3 linked regions of the Arabidopsis thaliana genome follow. The protein of the gene in region 3 interacts with the protein of the main gene of each other region in a pairwise test. Each region holds a gene or a part of one and is shown on either strand. Other genes may lie near its edges. The genes, in order: DBP1, NF-YA4 and AT1G55650.

What was found.
Region 1: the proteins of AT1G55650 (region 3) and DBP1 interact in a two-hybrid assay, tested with the Arabidopsis thaliana proteins (one large-scale study listed by BioGRID).
Region 2: the proteins of AT1G55650 (region 3) and NF-YA4 interact in a two-hybrid assay, tested with the Arabidopsis thaliana proteins (one large-scale study listed by BioGRID).

Annotation. Positions count from the first base shown.
Region 1 is NC_003071.7:10,902,216-10,909,782, forward strand, and holds DBP1 (DNA-binding protein phosphatase 1), read right to left. Parts: upstream 3,053-7,567; 5' UTR 2,764-3,052; coding exon 2,581-2,763; intron 2,365-2,580; coding exon 2,158-2,364; intron 2,047-2,157; coding exon 1,835-2,046; intron 1,516-1,834; coding exon 939-1,515; 3' UTR 780-938; exon of another isoform or gene 662-779; 3' UTR 501-661; downstream 1-500. Other genes in the region: AT2G25610 (ATPase, F0/V0 complex, subunit C protein), read right to left, coding at 1-70, 158-426; AT2G25625 (histone deacetylase-like protein), read left to right, coding at 4,347-4,447, 4,527-4,884; BGLU14 (beta glucosidase 14), read left to right, coding at 6,145-7,266, 7,318-7,567.
Region 2 is NC_003071.7:14,647,228-14,654,487, forward strand, and holds NF-YA4 (nuclear factor Y, subunit A4), read right to left. Parts: upstream 4,483-7,260; 5' UTR 4,337-4,482; intron 4,075-4,336; 5' UTR 4,029-4,074; coding exon 4,001-4,028; intron 3,909-4,000; coding exon 3,793-3,908; exon of another isoform or gene 3,447-3,792; coding exon of another isoform or gene 3,408-3,446; coding exon 3,324-3,407; intron 3,236-3,323; coding exon 3,071-3,235; intron 2,995-3,070; coding exon 2,791-2,994; 3' UTR 2,479-2,790; downstream 1-2,478. UniProt on the Arabidopsis thaliana protein: Stimulates the transcription of various genes by recognizing and binding to a CCAAT motif in promoters.
Region 3 is NC_003070.9:20,792,277-20,800,004, reverse strand, and holds AT1G55650 (HMG (high mobility group) box protein with ARID/BRIGHT DNA-binding domain-containing protein), read right to left. Parts: upstream 3,666-7,728; coding exon 3,499-3,665; intron 2,784-3,498; coding exon 2,705-2,783; intron 2,607-2,704; coding exon 2,444-2,606; intron 2,358-2,443; coding exon 2,310-2,357; intron 2,186-2,309; coding exon 1,860-2,185; intron 1,755-1,859; coding exon 1,524-1,754; 3' UTR 1,411-1,523; downstream 1-1,410. Other genes in the region: PRA1.G1 (prenylated RAB acceptor 1.G1), read right to left, coding at 5,671-6,234; AT1G55630 (Pentatricopeptide repeat (PPR) superfamily protein), read left to right, coding at 6,755-7,728. UniProt on the Arabidopsis thaliana protein: Binds preferentially DNA with A/T-rich content.

The sequences.
Region 1 (7,567 bases), on a different chromosome or scaffold from region 3:
ATTCTTGGAAGTGATTCGAGGAGCTTCAATGGCGGCACCGATCAAACTACTTCCGGTAATGTAAATTCCCCTAAACCATAAAGAGAGAGAGCAAAATAGTTTTCGTAAGCATGATGATTTCGCAAATCAATGGGGAGAAGAAGAAAAGGATTTATACCAGGCAGCACCAAGAACAGAGACGCCGATGGAGATGGCGATTCCGATGGCGGAGAAAGTGTACGGGGAGATTCTCACCAGAGCCGCGCCCCATGAACTCGCATGAATAGCCACACCGGACATTTTCTCTCTATCTCTTTGATATGAATGAATTTGATTTGTCTCTTTCTCTGTCTTTCGGAGGAGGAGATGATTAACAGAGCCTGTGCGATCTGAAATTGAGCAACTCCAAATCACGCGCTGATGAATGCGCGTGAATTCAATTACCATCGTATAGGCCTCGTAAGCGATACGAATAGCCCACTTTGATCGGACTATTGGGCCTTGTTCCTCATTTGAATATCCGGGACAATCTCGTTGTTCAGAGTTTCACGATAAAATAGTAACTGACGATGGCTCACTCAGCCTCATCACTAGACTGACTTTTCCAGCATCCGCAAACCGATAAGTGGCGATGTGGTCAAAGCCGACCCTCGAGTTTACTGCATATCTAACATACGTCATTCTGCAAGAACACAACATATTCGGTAAACGCAGGAATTGGAATAACTTTCTAGTTACAAAACAAATGAGACTGAAGCAGAATTATTATTATGCAAAAGTGACAAAAAAATATATCCTACCAAACAATAAATTATTGTATGCCGCCTCATGTTATAACTTACTCAAATTGCGAGAATTTAACAGAACAAAACCTCCAAACCCCAAACTATAAAATTGTAAGAAAAGACAAAACAAAAACAGAGAAATCAATCATTCGTCACCATCCTCATGTCCCCCAATTAGTTTCCCAAGCCATCCAAGTAGCTCTGTAAATCTTTTAAACCCTCCGCCGAGAAGCTTCTGTGAACTCTCAACCTCGGCGCTACCAAGTTCGGTGGTGGCTGTGGCTGAAGACACACAACCACTGCCGTCACATTATCAGCACTCTTCCTCTTCAAAGCTTCCTCAACCAGCTCCTTACTACACATGACCGGGTCATTGTGCTCCTGTAGTCTCCTTCTGGCAAAATCTACAGCATTCTGGCTCATGAACACATCCCAAACCCCGTCACACCCAATTATAAGGAACTCATCCTCTTCTGTTAGTTTTGTTGTCATGAGCTCAGGCTCTGCAATTAGAGGTCCACAATCAGAACCATCTTTCTTCTTCTTCATGCCTTCCATATGAAAGTCACCTAGCGCTCGAGCCACATTAAGTTGTCCATTTAGATAGCCATCGAATACATGTCCACCCGATGCTTCAATGCGTCTCCTTTCCTTACTGCTCATGGGTTTGTGGTCTCTTGACATTTCAATGGCTTTTCCCTGACGGGATAAGACTGCTCTGCAATCTCCAGCGTTTGCTACCACCAACGACCTGTTACCACAAAACTATATGTTAACACGGTACCAAACGGTTTCATACCAGAATACTAATAGAGTATGAAATGAGCAAGTATATACGTGACTCAAAGACCATATGAGACAATAACTACATTATAGCAGCAGCACATATGGGCAGAGAATACATCTACAGGCGAATTAGTTGTACATGATTGTGTTAAAGGTCAAGATTATGCACACTACGCAGTTGAGGATAAGCATCTATTCCCAAACACGTTTTTCTTTAACATAACCAAGATGTAAGAGTTTAGGTTAGACAAAACTAAAAGATAATAAGAGTTGAATCAACAAACCTTCCAAAAAGAATAGCTGCCAAAGCAGTAGTTCCTGAAGCAAGGCTCCCATCCAATGAACACGCCTCTAAGAAGGCAGTGTCTGTTTGAAGAAATGCTGAAGATAACACCTTATTGATTTCACTAGGAAACTCTTGATCTTCAACAATGTACCTCGGTATATGGTGACATGCAAACTCAGCGGCATGCTTCCCACCATGTCCATCAAATACCTAATAACAAACAAAATTCAATAAGAGATCCCCATATTTTCACTACATTCACAGTTGTTTGCTTATGCTACAAATCTACAAAAAATCAGGAAAACTGAAGAAAGAACATACCCCATAGAAGGCACTTGGACCAGCCTCAGAATTCAGAAGGCCAAAGCTATCCATGAAATTATCAACGCATAGATAAGCATCTTCCATGCTTGACCTGGAGCCAATATCAGACCAAGCTCCAGAACGCGTAGCAGGAACAAACTCAGACTTGTTCTTCTCTATAGTAAACTCATTCTCAACAGATATATCTGACACCATTGTCTTCACCTACCAAAATGAAAATCAATCAGAAAACCTCAAACATCTCATAATGACACATTAAAAACAGAAACTTTCTACCTTAATTATACACATTAGGAAACCAATAATGATCAAATCCAAAAGCAGAGCAATAATTACAAAACCTCAACTTAAATTGATCATTCAATACACAAAATAAACCTAACTGATCCACAAATCAAGTTGAAGAGAAACGAATCTTACGAGAGATGAGTGTCGAACCAGTGACCTCTTATTACACGGCGCCAACGATCGCTCGCCGTCGAAGGTTTGCCTGTAAACGGCAGCAGCGGCGGAGGAAGAAGAGAAGGAGAGTGGATTCGGCGGTTTACCGCCGTAACTCGAACTCCCATTCTCTGGATCAGAAATTCCTCTAGTTTCTTCCATATTGAAACATCATCGTATAAAAATTCAATAAGCAATTATGGAAACAGCTGACGAGTCAACTCACGAGTGAGCGAGTCGATTAAAAACGATTTAACGAAGAATGTAGCTTTAGATGAGAGATTCGTAAACAATGGATTCAGAATCGAAAACAAAATTGAAGAGATTGTTGAAAGGTTACACGAATTTCAGGGTTTAAGAGAAAATTAGGGTTTTGTGGAAGAAATTGGAACACGCAGAAAGAGAGAGATAATAAAACTGTTCGCCGGCGGAGGCGAGAAATATGAGTCCGACGGTTATTTAAAAGGCAAAAAGAAAAAGGAAAAAGGAAAAAGGAAGCTTAACATAAACACGAAACGTCGGCGTATTATTTACTTTTTCTCTTTGCTTTTTTTTTTCCTTTTTGTTTTTGAAGTGAGAGATTTTTTTTCTTATTAAAAAAGGGATATATTTACAGTTTATATGAGAAGTAAACATAGTATTTTGAAAAATAGCAAGAAAGGAAATCTGAAATTTTAGACTAATAGCAAAAAGATTTTGAGTTAAGTTGACAAAATTGAATTTTAGTAACTTGGGACCTTTTTTACATCTTTTTTATATAAAAAAAGTCGACACATGAGATATTACTTATAAAATTAAAAATACATTATTTTCATGAATATTTAATAGAGTTTATGAATTTCTCACATATGTTAATTATTAAGTGCTGAAAAATGTTTAATTGTTTTTCTGTATAAATGTTAAGTACTGAAAAATGCTTGGAATGTTTTTCTATATTTATATCTCTGCTATTTATATGTGTGATTTAGTGTTATTTAGGGCATTAAATATAAGATATTAAAATATTAAATTTTTCTATAATTTAAAAATAAGTAAATAAACATGTTGTAGACCGTAATTGCCAGATTATTTGTGCTGTTTCCTAAATACTTTTACATTCTTTGATGGTCACCAAATTAACTATAAGAAAAATTAGGACTCAGTCTCATTAATTTTTCGGAAGAGAAAAAGAATCAGTCTCATGGTAGTTGTTAGGAAATATTTGAATATTGTTTCGCCATTAGAAACTTTTTATGTGGATTTTTTTCCTGAAAACGATGGTTACTATTAATTAAACGGACCGACAAGAACCTTGTTGACGTGGTAACAAGTGATGACACATGCTAATTGGCCATCATTGTCAAATAATTTGTTCGCAAGGCGTGATACGTGTACGTTGTTATTCAGACGTAGCAAACAGATTCACGACTTTTGTTCAATTTGTCTTTGTATGGAGTATGGACCTAACATCTCCAACGGACCAATGCTATTGGGTCAAGTCCATCTTTTCTAGGTTAAGTTCATTCTTTGGGCTTTAGTTAAGTATAGAGAAAGAACATATTGGAAGAAAAATTTAGATGTGGTTTGTATTGCATGCGCATATGAAATGTAATAATTTGAGGATACATATATAGTAAGAAAAAATGAGTGACCCAAGTAAGAATGGGTTAGTAGTTATATATATGTTGGAGGTGAAAGGAATAAAATAAAATTTGTTCTAGGTGGATTCTTAAGAAAAAGAAGGAAACGAAAACAGAGGAATAACAATGGCAGGGAGAATAAGCTGCTGTCTAAATCTTCCTCCCCTAGATTCAAATTCTGCACAATCATTAGCTTCACTGCTCAAGACAACGTCAAAGATCTCTTGGTATCTCTTCTATTCATGAAAAGTTATTATTTACCTGATAATTTTTCATATCAATGATCTTTGTTCTTTTATTGTTTAGTAGGAGAACAGAAAATGAGACAGAGCCACGGAAAAACAAGTGTTCTTTTGTCTTGGGGGTGGCGGCAACTGTCGTAATCGGCGGGATTCAGATCAATGATGTTGCATCAGTGGAAGCTGCGGTTGTGAAATCGCCGGTAGAAGAGATGGCTGCGGGTGTGGTGCCGCCGCGGAGGTGGAGTGACAAGAGGACGTGTCCGCCTTGGCTTGAGAACTCGCTAGAGACCATCGTACCGGAGAATCTTCCTCGTCCGTCTGCTCATCGACGTTTGGAGTTAGCCGGATTAGCTAAGGGTGATGCACCGCCGGTCGGTGTGGTGATGACACGTGTCAACAGGGGTGGTTGTTTCTCCGTGTAAATTGGAAGTTCATTACGTGTAAGGGAGATTGTTAGGCAGGTGTAAAAAAAGTCAATTAGAAACAAATAATACACACAAAAACTATTGTAGATATATTAAATTTTAAGTATTTGTTTGTGTAGTTACTGATGACAAAACATTGAACCAAACTGGTCTTTAATTCATGCAAAATTTTCTTTGAGGATGCCATTTTTGATTTTTGGTTTAAATCGAACCGTATAAAAATAATTAACTCATTAAATTCATTGAGATCTTTATGTGCACGATTAGTTTTGGTCCGTCCTTTTTTTCTTTGTTTTGTAATCTTGTATCCTACCAAATTTTGGGAGTTTTCAGCTTTGTGTGTTAAAGTAGTACTCTATTGGATGTGAAATGAAAGAAAAGTAGTACATGCGTGTAGTACAAAAGAAAAACACTCCAAGTACTTCCTACTGAAATGAGTTGGCCTATTATCGATCCAAAGTGAAGCCCAACTCTATGTCACTCCAACGATTAGTTTGATTTCGGCCTCGTATTTCAAAGTTTAACTACAACTCTACAAATTTCACTTCCATGTCGGACCTTCAATAATTTAATTTCTTGATGCTCATGTTCTTTGCTTTTACAAGAATGGTGAGAGAATAAAGGGAGATTAGCCTTAGCGAGAGAGAAAAGACTCGTAGCATGAAGAGAAGAAGAAGAAAAAATTGGTTTTGCAATAAGAGACCTACGTTAACAAGAAAATGGACACAGCTTGATCATCTTATGCAAATCCACACTCACGATTTTCTAAAACTAGTTTGAAACTTACAGAAAACATTTTTTTTTGTAAATTTCTTAGATATTTCAAATAACTCTCTCGAGACATAAATCATAAAGACGATAACTAGTTAAGATCATTGTGAATAGTTTATAATGGATTTAACAAAAAAAAGAATAGTTTATAATGGAGTCTTGAGAGAGTTATTTGAATTATTTTGGGAATTTACAAAATTGTTGGATAAAAAAAGTAGTTACAAGAAAAAGGAAAATATTTACAAGTGTGTTTCTAATTTTTTCCTACTAGAAAGACAACTAGATAAGATCATTTCAATAGTCTTCTATTCACTAATTATGGACAAGTAAAAATTAAAAGATTTGTTACACCATCTCTATCTTACATTTCTCTATTTATAGATTCACATACCCAATGTAAAAACAAATCTCTTGCCTATATAACTCTAGACATAATTCATTATATTACAACAAACAAAGATTCAATAATCAAAAGAAAAATTTAGAATGACAAGTAAATATTTCTCCGTACTAGTGTTCATCATCTTGGCTTCCAATGAAGTTGTTGCCAAGAGACACTCTTCAACACCTAAATTAAGAAAAACTGATTTCCCAGAAGATTTCATTTTCGGAGCTGCAACCTCTGCGTACCAAGTTGAAGGAGCTGCTCAGGAAGATGGTAGAGGACCTAGTATATGGGATACGTTTTCTGAAAAATACCCAGAAAAGATAAAAGATGGTAGCAACGGATCTATTGCAGATGACTCTTACCATCTTTACAAGGAGGATGTGGGTTTATTGCATCAAATTGGGTTCAATGCCTATAGATTCTCCATCTCGTGGTCGCGTATTTTGCCTCGTGGGAATCTTAAAGGAGGAATCAACCAAGCTGGTATTGACTATTACAACAACTTGATCAATGAGCTTTTGTCTAAAGGAATTAAGCCTTTCGCAACCATTTTCCATTGGGACACACCACAAGACCTTGAAGATGCTTACGGAGGATTCCGTGGGGCAGAAATTGTTAATGATTTTCGCGACTATGCCGATATTTGTTTCAAGAGCTTTGGAGATCGAGTGAAACATTGGATTACATTGAACGAGCCATTAACAGTGGTGCAACAAGGATATGTTGCAGGTGTTATGGCTCCAGGAAGGTGTTCAAAATTTACAAACCCTAACTGCACCGCCGGGAATGGAGCCACCGAGCCTTATATCGTTGGTCACAACCTTATCCTAGCTCACGGAGAAGCAATCAAAGTCTATAGAAAAAAGTATAAGGCTTCTCAAAAAGGTCAAGTCGGTATAGCTTTGAATGCAGGTTGGAACTTACCTTATACAGAATCAGCTGAGGATAGGTTAGCCGCGGCACGAGCCATGGCTTTCACATTCGACTATTTCATGGAGCCGCTCGTGACCGGTAAATACCCGGTTGACATGGTTAACAACGTAAAAGGCGGTCGCTTGCCTACATTTACTTCAAAACAATCTAACATGCTTAAGGGATCATATGATTTCATTGGCATCAATTATTACTCGTCTTCTTATGCAAAAGATGTTCCTTGCTCAAGCGAAAACGTTACAATGTTCTCTGATCCTTGTGCTAGCGTCACAGGCGAAAGAGATGGAGTTCCCATTGGTCCAAAAGCTGCATCAGATTGACTTTTGATATATCCAAAGGGAATTCGTGATCTTATCCTCTATGCAAAATACAAGTTCAAAGACCCTGTCATGTACATAACAGAAAATGGGAGAGATGAAGCTAGCACTGGTAAAATCTTACTTAAAGATGGCGATAGAATCGATTACTACGCTCGACATCTCAAGATGGTTCAAGACGCTATCTTGATTGGAGCAAACGTTAAGGGCTTTTTTGCATGGTCGTTGCTAGATAACTTTGAATGGGCATCGGGGTACACGGTCAGGTTTG
Region 2 (7,260 bases), on a different chromosome or scaffold from region 3:
AGTCTCATTTGGATTCAACTAATCAATTGTTATTATGATCAATTCATTGGACTGAAACTTATTTCACAGCCCTTATGGACTGGCCAAACTTTACATATATTGTGAACAGATAACATTGAGTGGAATTATATATATGAAAGTCAAGGTGATCGTACCATTATGAAGTTCAATCACTCTACATAGTATTACCAACACAATCTCATGAATCTTACATAAGTTGCAAAGTATACAATGGTTGGTTAGAGTTAGATCGAAATCAGAGATCAGTTTTCGTTGAACATGTCTACTCTATAATTATTAAAAATTTACATGGATTAAGACTAGAGTCTACAAACGTTTTCAGTTGAAATTCTTATTATGTAGTCTAGAAAACTAATCCTAATACCAAAAGAAAGCATCCATGATAATACCTAATCAAACTTTATTATAATTACTTAGGATTTGCTTTTTCTCCGTATATATAAATACAAAAACAAAACATGAGTTTACTCCATAAATGGGAAATCGATGCAGCAATGATATTGAGATCACATACTCAATGGAAGGGAAAAGCACAAGTGTCTTTTTATTCCACTCTTTGGAATGAAATGAAAGTGAAAAAAAAAAAAAAAAAGTCAAATAGAAAAGCCCTATTTTTGTCACAATTGTGTTCTTCTTCCTTTGCTTCAATCTCACATCTCTTTCTCGCTATCTCTTGTTTCTATTGTGTTAAAAAGAGAGAGAGCAACAGAGGTGGAGGAAGGGACCCATGCATGGGAATGATAGAGGTGTAAAGTCAGGCATGGATAAAAACGAAGGCTCCAAGTTTGATAGGCTGCTCATGCATATATTGTTTTTGATCATATAATAATATAATTTAATAATTATGAGTGGGATTAAAGTTTGTAGATATCACTCGCCATGACCTTAACAATTGAGCTTATAAAAGACGTTCCACAAATATACATTTTTTTCACTACGTCATATGACGACAACATCGCGTTTGATTCTGAAGAAGAGGATCGTTTTCAATCAAAATAATTGATCCTTTACCCAAAAGATTATAATATTTCAATCAAATAATGGACCCGTTACCAAATTAACTATAGTTGATTATGGTGTGAATATGATGATCAGTATATATATATGATCTAATGATCCATCAAAAGAGTTCATTTCATTTTGGTTTTTCTTTTAATTTTATCTGGGCGTCAACCTGCGGTTCTGTATAGCTAAAGGAACATAGTCGACCTTTCATATAATAGAACCCACACTATACAACCCATGAAGAAGATGAAAAATCCATTATATTTTGCTCTCTTTTCCAATGAAACTTTCATGCAATCATTCCCTATGATTTGAGTTATGCATCTCCACATACACACACATGAACACCAATTCATGTGTATGTGACCTAACCCACAATGCAAAGAACTTTTGATGCAGTCAACATTTGGAAACACTCCAATAATATATTGTTATTTATGTCCTATTATTTAATATATAAGTATACATCTTAGGATTTTTTAATGAAAGTACTAAGGAATTCAGATAAATTCATATTCAAGGTTTTAATTTATATGGTTCACTGGTATCTCTTCATAAAAATATTACTTGGTTGCTTTTTCTAAATTTGAAGAATAACCGAATGATATTTGACATAATATCTTATTTGACAAAGATTCTTTATATAATTTTCATTTCCCAATTTTCCATCATATACAGAGACTAGAGAAGGAAACACATGTACTTTGTTTTAATAAGTATTTGATAAACTCACATCAACTGTCTAAACTCCAGAGAGACAGTAGCTAAAGCGCAATAAGCCAACAACCAAAACTTCAGCCAGAAGCTGTCTGAAAATCAAAGCAATGCTTTTATGGAATCTTATTAAATCCAAATATATAAATAAACAGAAAAGGCGCAAGAGAACAAAACATGACTTCAGAAATATAAACTGTCTGGGAGTGAAATGATTATGCTTAGTGGATAAAAAAAAGTGGTAAACTAAGATTATTCTACCTTCTTCCCAAAACGAATCCATTTGGTCGCAGAAATCAATGTTTCAAATTCTATCCCAACACATCTAACCAATATATCATCAATGGAATGGTGAAATATGGTCTCTTTGTGAATATAAGAAAAAGGCTAAGTTTATATGTGGTAAAGAAGATAATAATAAAATGGTGTAAACAGGTCTAAAGACTTGACAAAACTAAAACAGAGCTACAAGTCGAGAAAAGAAACAATACCTCGTATAAAAAGAGAATTGTGATTGTAAAATAATGTATGTCGTGTCATTCAAAATGTATCATCGGAAGAGCATATGGTCGGATATGCATGCAATGTGTTCATTAAAAATGAAAACGAGCCTAGTGATTGACCACATTATGAGATCGGAAGAATTCTTGTTTTACTTGTCTCCTAAATTACAACGTCAAATCCGATCCTGTAGAATGCATTTCATATATATAGAAGAATACCAATAAACAGTCTAGTCTAACAATGGACTAATCCACAGTGGTAGTTATCATCAGTGTTAGTTATCCTCAAAATCATAGCAAACAAAGCTAAGAACATTAATTTACTTTCCAAAACATGAGTTCATTGGCAAAGAATATCAATTTGGTACAACAATACTTCCAATCACACTTTTCATTTCTTTGCTTAGTTTTATTTCTAATCGCTAAAACAAAGTTTACCCTAGCAAATAACCTGTACACAGCGTATCCAAAAACACTAAAGACGATGATGCCCTGAGAACATCCACCCAAAATAGAAACTAAACTTGTGGTTGTGCAGAAACCTTCCTCAAGATCTACCATTAGGACCAGAAGTAGCCATAGCTAATTTCTCGGACCTGAGGCTGGAACTTGCTTCTGAAGTGTTCTCATCAGAGGTTGCCTCCTCCTCCTCCTTGTGGTCTCCATTTTCCTTCTTGGCATTGAGAAACCGGCCACCACATCCTCTTGGCCGTCTTATCGCATGTAAATGCCGAGATTCATGCATGTATGGCTGAAAACAAGAAATTACAACTTATTGGGAAGGATTCTACCAAACAAATTACAGCACTTGCCCGCCAGGATTTTACCTTTTTTGCTTTGATGGCTCTATTTCGTGCCTCAAGTTTTGCCCGGGATTGCCTGCGCCTGAGTATACCATGGTATTGCTTTGCGTTAACAAAAACAGGTTCCTCGACTGCATCACATTGCAATGGAACTCCTGGCTGCTGCATTCCCATTAACTGCAATTGGACCTGAAAAAAAAACTTTAAAAATAAAACAAAAGCTTTTCTAAATATTCCAAACCGGAGACGTTGGGGCTGAGTAATAAATAATACATACCCCAGGATAGGGATGTGGAAGATACGCTTGCTGTGCAAAGACGCTTCTGTAGTAAGGATCTGGATACGGGTATAATCCATGTGCCTTCAATACCAACACACACAAAAACAAAAACCGTATCATCTCAGGTTAAAAAGTTTAGCATTACTTGGAATCAACATTATCATTACACTGCATCTCAAGACTGATTTTCAAAGCAATCAAAGTTTACATTCGTACGAAGTCTAAAACTGCAGAAAGGCGATGATCCCGGGACTTTCTTGCTTGAATTATCTCAAACAACCAAGTTTTGGCATTGTAAGCATCAAAACAAAACTTTTAGCATTGAAAAAGAGAATCACAAGCAAACATATTATAACCGAGAGCAAGATCACACAGAAACTAAACCAAATATCATATAATCGAAATAAAGATCACTCATTGAATGTAGCCTGCACAAATAGTTGAGATTTTGGCTGAGAGAAATTACCATGGGCTCTGAGTAGACAGAGTTTGTATCAATAGATTCCGAACTTCGTCCTGAAGGAACCTGTGGTCGGGTTTGGGAATCTGGACGTTCTTTCTTCGCATGACTTTCATTGTTATCTGACCAGCAAAACATACCACCAAGAATCAGTTAGGAAGATACAACAATAAAACGAGAGCATAATGAAAATGGTCAGAAAGAGAGACAAAACCAGAGAGCTCATGTACTGAAGAAGTCATGATTCATGAGAAGACTGTCCTAGTTACAAGTCTGAGGAACAACAAACTGAAACAACAACAAAGCACAAAAGTCAGTACCAAAGCCAAGAGTTTGAGAATCGGAATTCACTAAACCAAAACCCCAAAATCAGAATTCAATCACAACCCTAGAATCTAAAGCAAACCCAGAACAGAGAAAAACCAATCTTAACCTCTACTATCACATCTCAACATACATAGCAAAAGCATTTTCCCGGAAACGAGTAGATACAGAACAACAAAAGCTAGAAACTTTCAAAATCTGGAGGGAAAGAAACATAAGAATTTACCTGAATTATATAAAATAGTAAGCTGATTCAATCAATCTCTGGATCTTACCCTCAGAAAATTGTTAAAGGTCTCTCCTTTTTTGTTCTAACTAAGGAAGAGACGAAATGACTAACAGAGGCCTAAACGGCTAGACCCAAGAGGGACACACCATGTCGTTTTTTCAGTTCATAGCCTCCGTCCTTCTCTAATATTCATTAACATCGTGCCGTTTTCATGTTTTCCACTCACACTGTAGTGATAGGTCAACTCAGAACCACGAAAATGTGTAGGAGTGGTAAACGACACGATGTGCAACAGTGAAAAGGAGGCTAATACAATGAGGACAAGTGTCGAAACAACGATCGAGATTGTAGGAAAAGACGGGCAGATCTGAAAAGCTGCCCGAATATGTTATCGATTGTTCAACTCCACTAGTTTTGCCTGACCCTACTTGTGCCCGTTGCCCTCAAATATATCTTTCGTTGTGAGTCATCAAAGAAGCGTCGGTATCGAAACCGAAGATTCCGTTCGCTTTTGGTTTTGTTCGAATTTCAGAGACATTAAACCAGCTTTGGTATTTAGATTGGTTTGACTTCGGTTCAGTGACAAAACAAAACCTACTTAAACGAACGAGTGATGAGTGACTTCAGAAAAAAACAGTACATGATTCCATAATAAGTAACTTATTATTTATAAGTTTCCTAAAAATTTTGCCCAAAAAAAAAAAAAGAAAAAAAAAACTTTCCTAAAAAAGTATTTGCTAATTGCTTTGACTCGAAAAATAATTGAAAACTATCACTTATGTGTAAAAGACCACCAAAAGTTGTAACGCCTTTGATCACTTATACGAGGTCACAGTATTCGACAAGTAACTATAGGTCAAAATCAAGTAAGTATGCATTCGACAAGTAAGAAACGTTTAACGTAAATGAAGTGAGTGAGCAGTCATTGAACAACAAATTAGCGTTTGGAAATGGACGAAAACTAACTAGTAAACATGATTAATACACAAGTAAATGAAGTGACTGAGCAGTCATTAAATAACCATGCTTACTTAATCACCTATACGATTATATAGTCTGCTTTCATCCCTAAACTCCTTATCATCATGATTCTTGATTCGACACCTCAAAGTCCTCAAGTGCATGTCAGCACGTATAAAGTTATAAATATAAAAAAAAAAAAAAAAAGTTATAAATATCAAGCATAATTTAGCACTGAGATTAAAAGAGCATTCCTAACAAAACCAAAGATTATAAGTTCATGATATTGGAAAAACCCAACACAAGTTCATGTAATTAGGTTAAGTAGATGAGCAAGTAGTCTCTTATATATAATCATGTAGTGAGAACAGTGAGACTAACGTAGAGAGTTGTCACTTAACTCCATAGTCTATCCCCTTCTTTGAAATCAAAACTAAAGTCATTCTATTCTTGGGGACAATCTAAATCTTTTCCCCTCATACTTTTGTTTTGTGCAATAAGCTTAATGAGGTCTCTTATTTTCAGTTTTAGATTTCTATGTTAGTTCATTTGAGCACAAATCTATCCTAGTTTGGTTTTTCCTACAAAGATCGCCTCAAAAGAACGATTTTAGTTAATAAGACTTAAACCCCAACCATCAAGATCAAACCGTCATAATCTAGTTTAATCCATGATACAAAAAAAAAAAAAAAATACCACTTACACAAAGTAAAAGCAAAAGAAAAAGATAGAGATGAGACCAAATTCATAAATTTGATAGAAAGATAAGGATGAGATTCTTTTATAATTGTGAAGATAAATATACTAATTTTTATCGAAGGGGTGTTCAAAAGTATATTGATTCAAATAGATTATAGAGAAAAATTAAGTAAAACTTAGATTTAGAAATACCTCTTGTTATAGTTGTCATATAAATCTTAAATTTAACATCAATCATATTGTCAAATCTAGCTTTATTACCAAAAATATATCTAGAATAGAAATACTAAAAAATTAAAATGTCATCCGAAATCTATAATTAATTAATCGAATGTCACAACCATATTAGTCATATAAACATTTTTCTTGTTCCAAGAATGACATCTTGACCGAAGAATAAAGCTATGAAAAGTAATAGACCAAAAAGTTAAGACTTCTAAAACAGAGGCTCCGATCTTTTATTAGTTCTTTAAAAAGAATCCGGATTAATTTAATCATCGGATTAGTTGGATTGGACTAAACAATGATTTTGAATTAGGTAGAAACCTTAATGATTATGAGATCAACTCAATGAATTCTTTCCAATTATTATTGTCTTAGCAACACATTCTAGTATATCCATAAAAGAAATATTATAATTCCCTTATTTTAGTCATATAAGTATGAATAACCCTAATGAATTGAAGTATTGAACTAAAATTAACGAATGAATAAGCTCTTTCCAACCCAGAAAACAATAAATAAATCCATGAAAAACTGAATTTGTTGGATTGAGCTTGACCCATTTGAACAGGCTACTTATATTATATATAAATGTGAACATCTTTGCATGAAAAAATAAGTCTCGTCAACAAATGTTAGCCGAAATAATGATATAGTTTAAGATAGAGCCAAACACATAATATACATACACATGTACATTGTATTTTCTCAAAAAGGTATAATGACAAAAGACAAAATTAATAGGGGTAATATCGTAAATTCAAGGGTAAAGGAGCTGGGCATAAGCTTTGTTCTCGAGTCTCCCGCTCCGCTCAGGTGTAGCGTAGCGCCTCTTAAACTTTCTCTCCCTTTACTATGCGTTTTCTTTGGAAACCCTAAAACTCTGCAAGAACAAGAAGAAAGTCTCATCCTTGAAATCGACGCTGTGATTAGCTCTTCTTAAGGTCAATTCGTCACTTTACCTCGACTTGTAAGTTTGCTTCTCCTTTTATTTGGTCATGGTCGTTAGAGTTTTCTTATAGGATTTGTAATCTCAATTC
Region 3 (7,728 bases):
GATTTGATCTTGATTGCCTCTTAATTGTGGGAAGATTGTAGAAACTACTCCCTTCTATCCATTGAAATCGTTACCTTTTTCTTTATTTTATTTTCTTTGGGGAAATTTGTTTCTTCAACCTCGTCTTGAGAGTAAAGAAAATTAAACATATACGATGTCGTCTTGTTTTATTAGATGGCATCCTAGTACACATTCTATGACGGTTTGGGAAAAAATTTGAAAAAATTAATGGTTGATTGAGACAGAACGGTCAAAGTATGTGTCATTTATTCGCTAATTTGGGTATAAGAATTTAAAGTATCTTTGGGTATTTCTAAACATATTATCATTTATATAAAAATACTTCTCATTATTGAAATCCAACATACTCTCTTCTATCCATTGAAATCATCACCTTTTTCTTTATTTTATCCTCTTTGGAGAAATTTGTTTCTTCAACCTCGTTTTGAGAGTAAAGAAAATTAAACATACACGACGTCTTGTTTTATTGGATGGCATCCTAGTACACATTTTATGATGGTTTGGGAACAAATTTGAAAAATTAATGATTGATTGAGACAGATACAGTCAAAGTATGTGTCATTTATTCGCTAATTTGGGTATAAGAATTTAAACTATTTTTGGATATTTCTAAACATATTATCATTTCTATAAAAAATAACTTCTCATTATTGAAATCCAACATACTCTCTTTTATCCATTAAAATCTTCACTTTTTTTTTCTCTATCTCTATATTTCCCAACGTCGTTTTGAAAGTAGAGTAATTTAAATATATACAGCGTCATATTATTTTCTTAGATGGCGTCATAGTAAGCTATGATGGTTTGGGATAGAAGTTTCAAAACATTACTAGCTGATTCACAGAGATACGGTCAAAGTATGTGTCATTTATTTGTTAGTTAATGTGGATATAAAATTTAAAATGATTACTATTTATATTTCTAATGATCATATATCATCTATAAAAAGAACTTCCCATAATGTTCGGATATGACTTAGCCGTTTTTCCCCTAAACCCAAGTTTAAATCTGGTATCTTTCTCCTTAGGGTAAGACTTCAAACATTGACTTCTCCGCCCAAACCGTCTGAAACCTTTGAAATAACTCTAATTCTGTAACTTTTGGTCTTTTCGAAAAATATGAATATATATGTAACAAAAAGGCCCGTTGAGGAAAATAACAAGAAAGCCCGTTATGTTTAGACTAGAATGGATTAGAGAAGCCTCTGCATGCGACCCACAACAGTACGTTGGTTTAAAAAATAAAATACAATCATGATGTTACTTTCAGAAACGGCATGTCTCATACTAGGACGATTAGGACAAGCTAACTCAACTCTTGAAACATAAAGTTTGGCATTAAGATTGCAGAAAAAAAAAAAAAAAAACAATTTATTGAAAGGGTCGTTGCCAAGATTCCACAACTTATTATTAACCAAAGTTCTCATAACATAAAGATAAACTTACAACAAATAGAGAAGACAACGATAGAGAAACACTACTGACCCATCTCAACGGTCAACACTACTGACTCACCTCATCCTCAGTCTCAGCTGCACTACTTGCACTTGTGCATGCATCAGTCTTGGCTAAATTTTCTTGACTCGCCTCATCCGCAGTCTCCGCTGCACTTGCACTTGTACCTGCATCAGTTGCGGCTACAATTTCCGCCACACGAGATTCCATTAAAGATCTGTACTGTAAAATCTCCATTTTATACCTCTTCCCATCCTCACGACTTTTCTCATAATAAACCTGTTCAAAAATCATAAACCAAACCCGTTAAATCCATTCGAGATAAATGAAACTTGAAAACGTAGTTTAAAATCATCAGTTAATTTCTTAAGTCTTTTGAATTACCTTTCTATCAGATTCAGAGAGATTGGTCCACATGTTCCCAAAATTCTTAGGGCTAGATACTTTTTGTCCAGCGTTCTCAGCTTTAATCCTCACGGATTGCTCAGCAACGAAGAAGTTGTAACCGGTTCTTTGACGCTTAGGTGGCTTATGAGAATCCCCCTGAGATGATTTTGCTTTCTTCTTGCCTCTTTTAGTTTCAGGAGAAATGTGGTAAAGCATTCCTTTGAGCTTTTCTGAGCCTACCTTTGTGCTTATAAGATAACCACTTTCGAATTTCCCATCGATGATCCCAGTAATCACGGTGCCAGGTTTCAGTTCTTGAGAGTCTGAATATGTTTCAGAAAGCAAATCCCAACACTCAAAATAAGATGAAAGAAGAGAATCTAAAAACTTTGGATTTATAAATGCAAAAAACATGCAACATATCCAAAAACATGAATTTTTAAGTACCTTTGTCACGGTTTGCAGATTTTTCGATAAGGAGCTTCAATGCTTTTTCTGCGAAGAAAGGACAAACATGTATATTAATCTTGGATCTTCTTGGAGAATTAGAAAGAGAGAGATCATGAATGGTATTTTAAGACCTTTTTCCCAAAATGTAGAAAGTGGAGCTTGGAAGTAATAGAGATGCTCAAATTCAAAGAGCATTTTAAGATACGACTTCCTTAGAACAAATGCTGAATTTGTTATTGTTGTCTTAAAATTGAATGCGTCAATCACTTCTTTGCATCTACGATCCTTGATCACCTAAAATCAATAGGATTTTTAAAACAGAATTGTATAATATTTAATGAAGAAAAAATAGATTTAAAACTTGATGTTCAATGGCACTATGAACTTGTTACCTTTTCAAGACCACCTCGAGATGTGACTTCGTTGAAAAGCCGATGCAGATCAAGACTTTTTCCACCCACAATAGGAATCCTTTACAAACGGAAAAAATCAGAAACAGTTTAATGTAATGAAATTTAGTCAAGAGAATAGATCAACTGAAGCACAAAACATTGAACATATCAGAAGAGCATAAAAGCAATTTCCATTTCCCAACATTTTTACTTTTAAAACAATTTAGCATTAACGGTAACCAAAAAAAAAATTAAAAAAAATCTTACAGCTCTTCGTGGCTTATCAATTCAAATCTTTTTGTCAAAACCAAATAAAGACTGATTTTGGACTACAGTTTAAGAGCAAACCAGATCCAATTCAATAAGCCATACACACTTCCGTGCCTTCACAATTCGATAACCTAATTGGTTTATGCTTCCATCTAGCCAAATAAATTTTATCAAGCCCTTAAATCTACGACAATACGAGTCATTTTTATTTTAAGAGGAAGTTCAGGGCCAAAGCTCAAAGTCACCTTTTCCAATAACAATATTTTGAAGATTTTTTTCCCTTAAACAAAAAAATTGCCACTTATCCCAGTGTTTCTCAAACCAAGGAGAACAAGGCTACTGTCTACTGACTCCTTTGGTATATTTATAACCCACCATACAATGGATTGTGAATAAAGTTGTAGAATCTCTAATAAATTTATCAACCCGATGTAGAGTAGGATTTTTCATCCACAATTGTAATTTTATAAACAATAAAATTCATTAAGAAAACCAAAAACACTAAAAGAACATGCATAACTCACTTAAATTTTTTGTCCGAAGATTCATGGAAATCCCGGAGCATCTCCCAGAAAAGTTCGGGGTTTCGGACAATATCCTGATACAACATAGACATGTGAGAGGAAACGTCGTTGTCTAAAGCAGAGGCATTAGCGGGAACAACTTCAAATTGTGAACTATCGGTCGACATAGTTTCTTTTGGAGTGTTTTTTTTTTTCTTTTGAAAAGATTTTTCAACTTTCAGAGATATAAATGAACGAACTTTCATACAACTTTCAGGATTTTTTTATCTTCTTATCTGGAATTAGGGGCCTAATGTTTATGTACAGATTTTGTTTTTGTCTCCACCACATATGCATATACTAAATCCCCTTTTTCCTTTTACATAATCCGCGTTAAATTAATTACGATTTACGACTTGTTGCAAAATGTTGAATGAATTGTAGCAGTTTTACAAAAAAGGTTTTTCCTTTAAATGTAGTCAGTAGATAAGATTTTATTTATATTATGATATTAAGTAAAGGGTCCTAAGTAAAGTGAGTGCTTTTTCGCTTCGTATTTGAATAAAAATTATCAATGATATTGCATGCATAGATGGACAATATTTCAATTATTTATTCTTTTTATCCAATTTTCCTTAAAACTAAATTAGCTGTTATCTATTTTTAGATACATCATGTAAGAATTTTCTTAGAAAAAAAATTGTAGTGAAATTTTTGGGAAATAATTTTAAAACAAATTAAAATTGGAATAGGTCAAATATTACAATATTTTTGGACATAATCTTTTGTGGTCATATTTTTTTTTCTTTACAAATAATCAATTAAAAGATTTAGACTAAGAAACTTTTACTTTGTTAGTAAATTTCACAAAAGAATATTTAAGGGTGCAGGTGAGTGTAGTAAAGATTGTGGGCTAAGAGGTTGGGGAGATAGTTCTTCAGGACTCAAATAAATGCTCTCGGAGAAGCAGTAAGGTTTAAAAGGGTTAAAAGCTTGCACAGGTTTAACAGGTTAAGAGACAAGAGTACACAGGCAGACAAGACATAGTGAGAAACCAGAAAACTACCTGAGAGAACTCTTGAGGAGAGTGGGAGTAAGATGTAAAACCAAATTAGAGCTTGAAACAGAGGGGATAAGCGGAGGAGGAGACGTCGGAATCACCCAAAATCTCGTCGGAGCTCATTAGGGTTGGTTAATAACCGTTGGAAGTTTCCACTTTTGGGATGCAAAAGGAAACATAGATCTGGTTAAAAGCGGGAGACATACTTCTAATATCCTCCTTGGGTACCGTGCCTGGGAGAGAAAGTTTTTCAAAGTCTCATTCTATGAATTGTAGCAGTTTTAGATAAGGTTTTTCCTTTAAATGTAGTCAGTAGATAAGATTTTATTTATATTATGATATTAAGTAAAGGATCCTAAGTAAAGTGAGTGCTTCGTCGCTTTCGTATTTGAATAAAAATTATCAATGATATTGCATGCGTTAGATGGACAATATTTCAATTATTTATTTTTTTATCCAATTTTCCCTAAAATAAATTAGCCGTTATCGATTTTTAGATACATCATGTAAGAATTTTCTTAGAAAAAAAATTGTAGTGAAATTTTTGGGAAATGATTTTAAAACAAATTAAAATTGGAATAGGTCAAATATTACAATATTTTTGGACATAATCTTTTGTGGTCATATTTTTTTTTTCTCTACAAATAATCAATTAAAAGATTTAGACTAAGAAACTTTTACTTTGTTAGTAAATTTCACAAAAGAATATTTGAGTACCAATGTACCATCCATTAATTGCTTCCACAAGACAAGAGGAGCAATTATGAAAGGCTCTAGCGGAGATGAGAGTACGATAACAAAGATAATGTCCCTATTAAGTTGATACAATGTGAAGGTAGGTAGTTTTAGAACAATTCTTATGGTTATTCTTGTATATAATTTTCTTTTAAAAAAAATTGTATTGATTTCAAATTTTTGGTGTACAGGGAGGGTCATAAATTTTTCTCAAGATAATAGACGATTAGAAAAAAACTGGGCATATCAGAAATGATAATAACTAGTAATAAATATGCAAGCTTGACCGGACATGTAAAATATACTGATACCATTTCGTAACCCACATGGCCACATTCAAATATGACAATGCGTGCGTGAATTTTAAAGGTAATCACATAATTGCATATGACATATCGTCAGCTCCAATGAAGGAAATTGGAAGGAACAACAACATCTTTCTCTTGTACAAAGAGGTCGTCTGAATTCCGTATGATTGCGTGGACCAAACAAAGCAAGACACTTGTAACGACGCCAAGAATCAGGCATTGGAGGCTATTAATGAACCACAATGCCCAAAGCGAGCCAAGAATCAACCCAAAGACGATAACACGGTCGCTAATATGTCGACCGTACAAGACCAACGGATGGTCTCTATAGAAATATAGGAGTAGCCACATGGCTACAAAGGATGCAACCGTGACAAGAGCCATCGGATCACCGATCAAGAAGAGTGTGATGGAAGCAGCGGTTAAAAGTACGTAGTTAACCGCAAAGTGGTGAAGGTTAAGTTTAACGCGCGAAACAGCGGGGGAGAAAGAGCTTGGACGGTCGATGGAACCGAATGCTAGAAATTCTGACCACCATGGACGGTAGCTAGAAACAGAAGCTATTAGATTGTGCACCGACAAGGAGATAACATCACCAGCGGAGAGACTTATCTCCTCCGCCGGGATCAGAACACTCTCCCCCGGTGCTAACATCGCCGATCACCGGACACCACTTTTGAGTTCTCTAGTCAACTAGTTTAACCGAAATTAAAAGTTTTGAAGGTATAGGTATATAGCAAAACAAAAAGTGGTTCCCACGTTGATTAACGTTTTGGGATGGGCCAGTTTTATTTTAGGGCCCATAAAAGTCGGGTCGGATCCTCTTCAAAATGTGGATTCGGTTCAGCGATTCTCTTCTCGGTAGTTCTCAAAAGCAGAGAGCAGCGGCAGAGACGTCTGAGTAGAACCTGGGATCCAGGTTCAGTTATTTTACCATTATACCCCTTGAACTCGTCTTCTTCGTCAAGGTAATCTTCGATTTCAGATGGAATCTGTAGAAATCTAGATTCCAATTTGCTTAATTGCCAATAGTTTGATGGGTTTTTGCGGTTTTGCGAATCCGAGGCTCTCGGAGGTGAGATTTTCGTCTTTGAATTTAGAGTTCTCGGGTCTGCTTAGTTCCTTTAAGTTCCAGAGATGATGAAGAAAAATCTATTTTGGATTAAGCTCAAATATGAACTCTGTAATTCATTATAGCACTAGTGTTGCGGTTCGTAAAGCTTCTCGCTTTCTCTTCACATCGAGGAAATTTTGCAATGGTAGCATCGGTGGTGATGTAACCGATAACGGGACCGAAGAGCCCTTGAAGATAACTTGGGAATCTTCGGAGATGGATTGTGAGTTTGACCAGGAGGAAAATGGTGAGAAAATCTCTGTTAGAAAAAGGTTTATGGAGAGTACTAAACTCAGTGCGTCTCGGGTTCTCGATACGTTACAGCAAGATTGTCCCGGTTTCAATACGAAATCAGCTTTAGATGAATTGAATGTTTCAATCTCAGGGCTATTAGTGAGAGAGGTTCTTGTTGGGATCTTAAGAACTCTGAGCTTTGATAATAAAACAAGGTGTGCTAAGCTCGCTTACAAGTTCTTTGTGTGGTGTGGTGGACAAGAGAATTTCAGGCACACTGCGAATTGTTATCATTTACTTATGAAGATATTTGCTGAATGTGGTGAGTATAAAGCCATGTGCAGGCTAATTGATGAGATGATCAAAGACGGTTATCCAACAACAGCATGCACGTTTAATCTATTGATATGTACTTGCGGGGAAGCAGGCCTTGCTAGAGATGTTGTTGAGCAGTTCATCAAGTCGAAAACTTTCAATTACCGACCTTATAAACACTCTTACAATGCCATTTTGCATTCTTTGCTAGGGGTGAAACAGTACAAGCTGATTGATTGGGTTTACGAGCAGATGTTAGAAGACGGGTTTACGCCAGATGTTCTGACTTACAACATTGTAATGTTTGCAAACTTTAGGTTAGGGAAAACAGATCGGCTTTATAGATTGCTAGATGAAATGGTTAAAGACGGGTTTTCTCCTGATTTGTATACATACAACATCCTCCTCCATCATCTAGCAACAGGAAACAAGCCTCTCGCTGCTCTTAACCTTCTGAATCATATGAGGGAAGTAGGAGTTGAGCC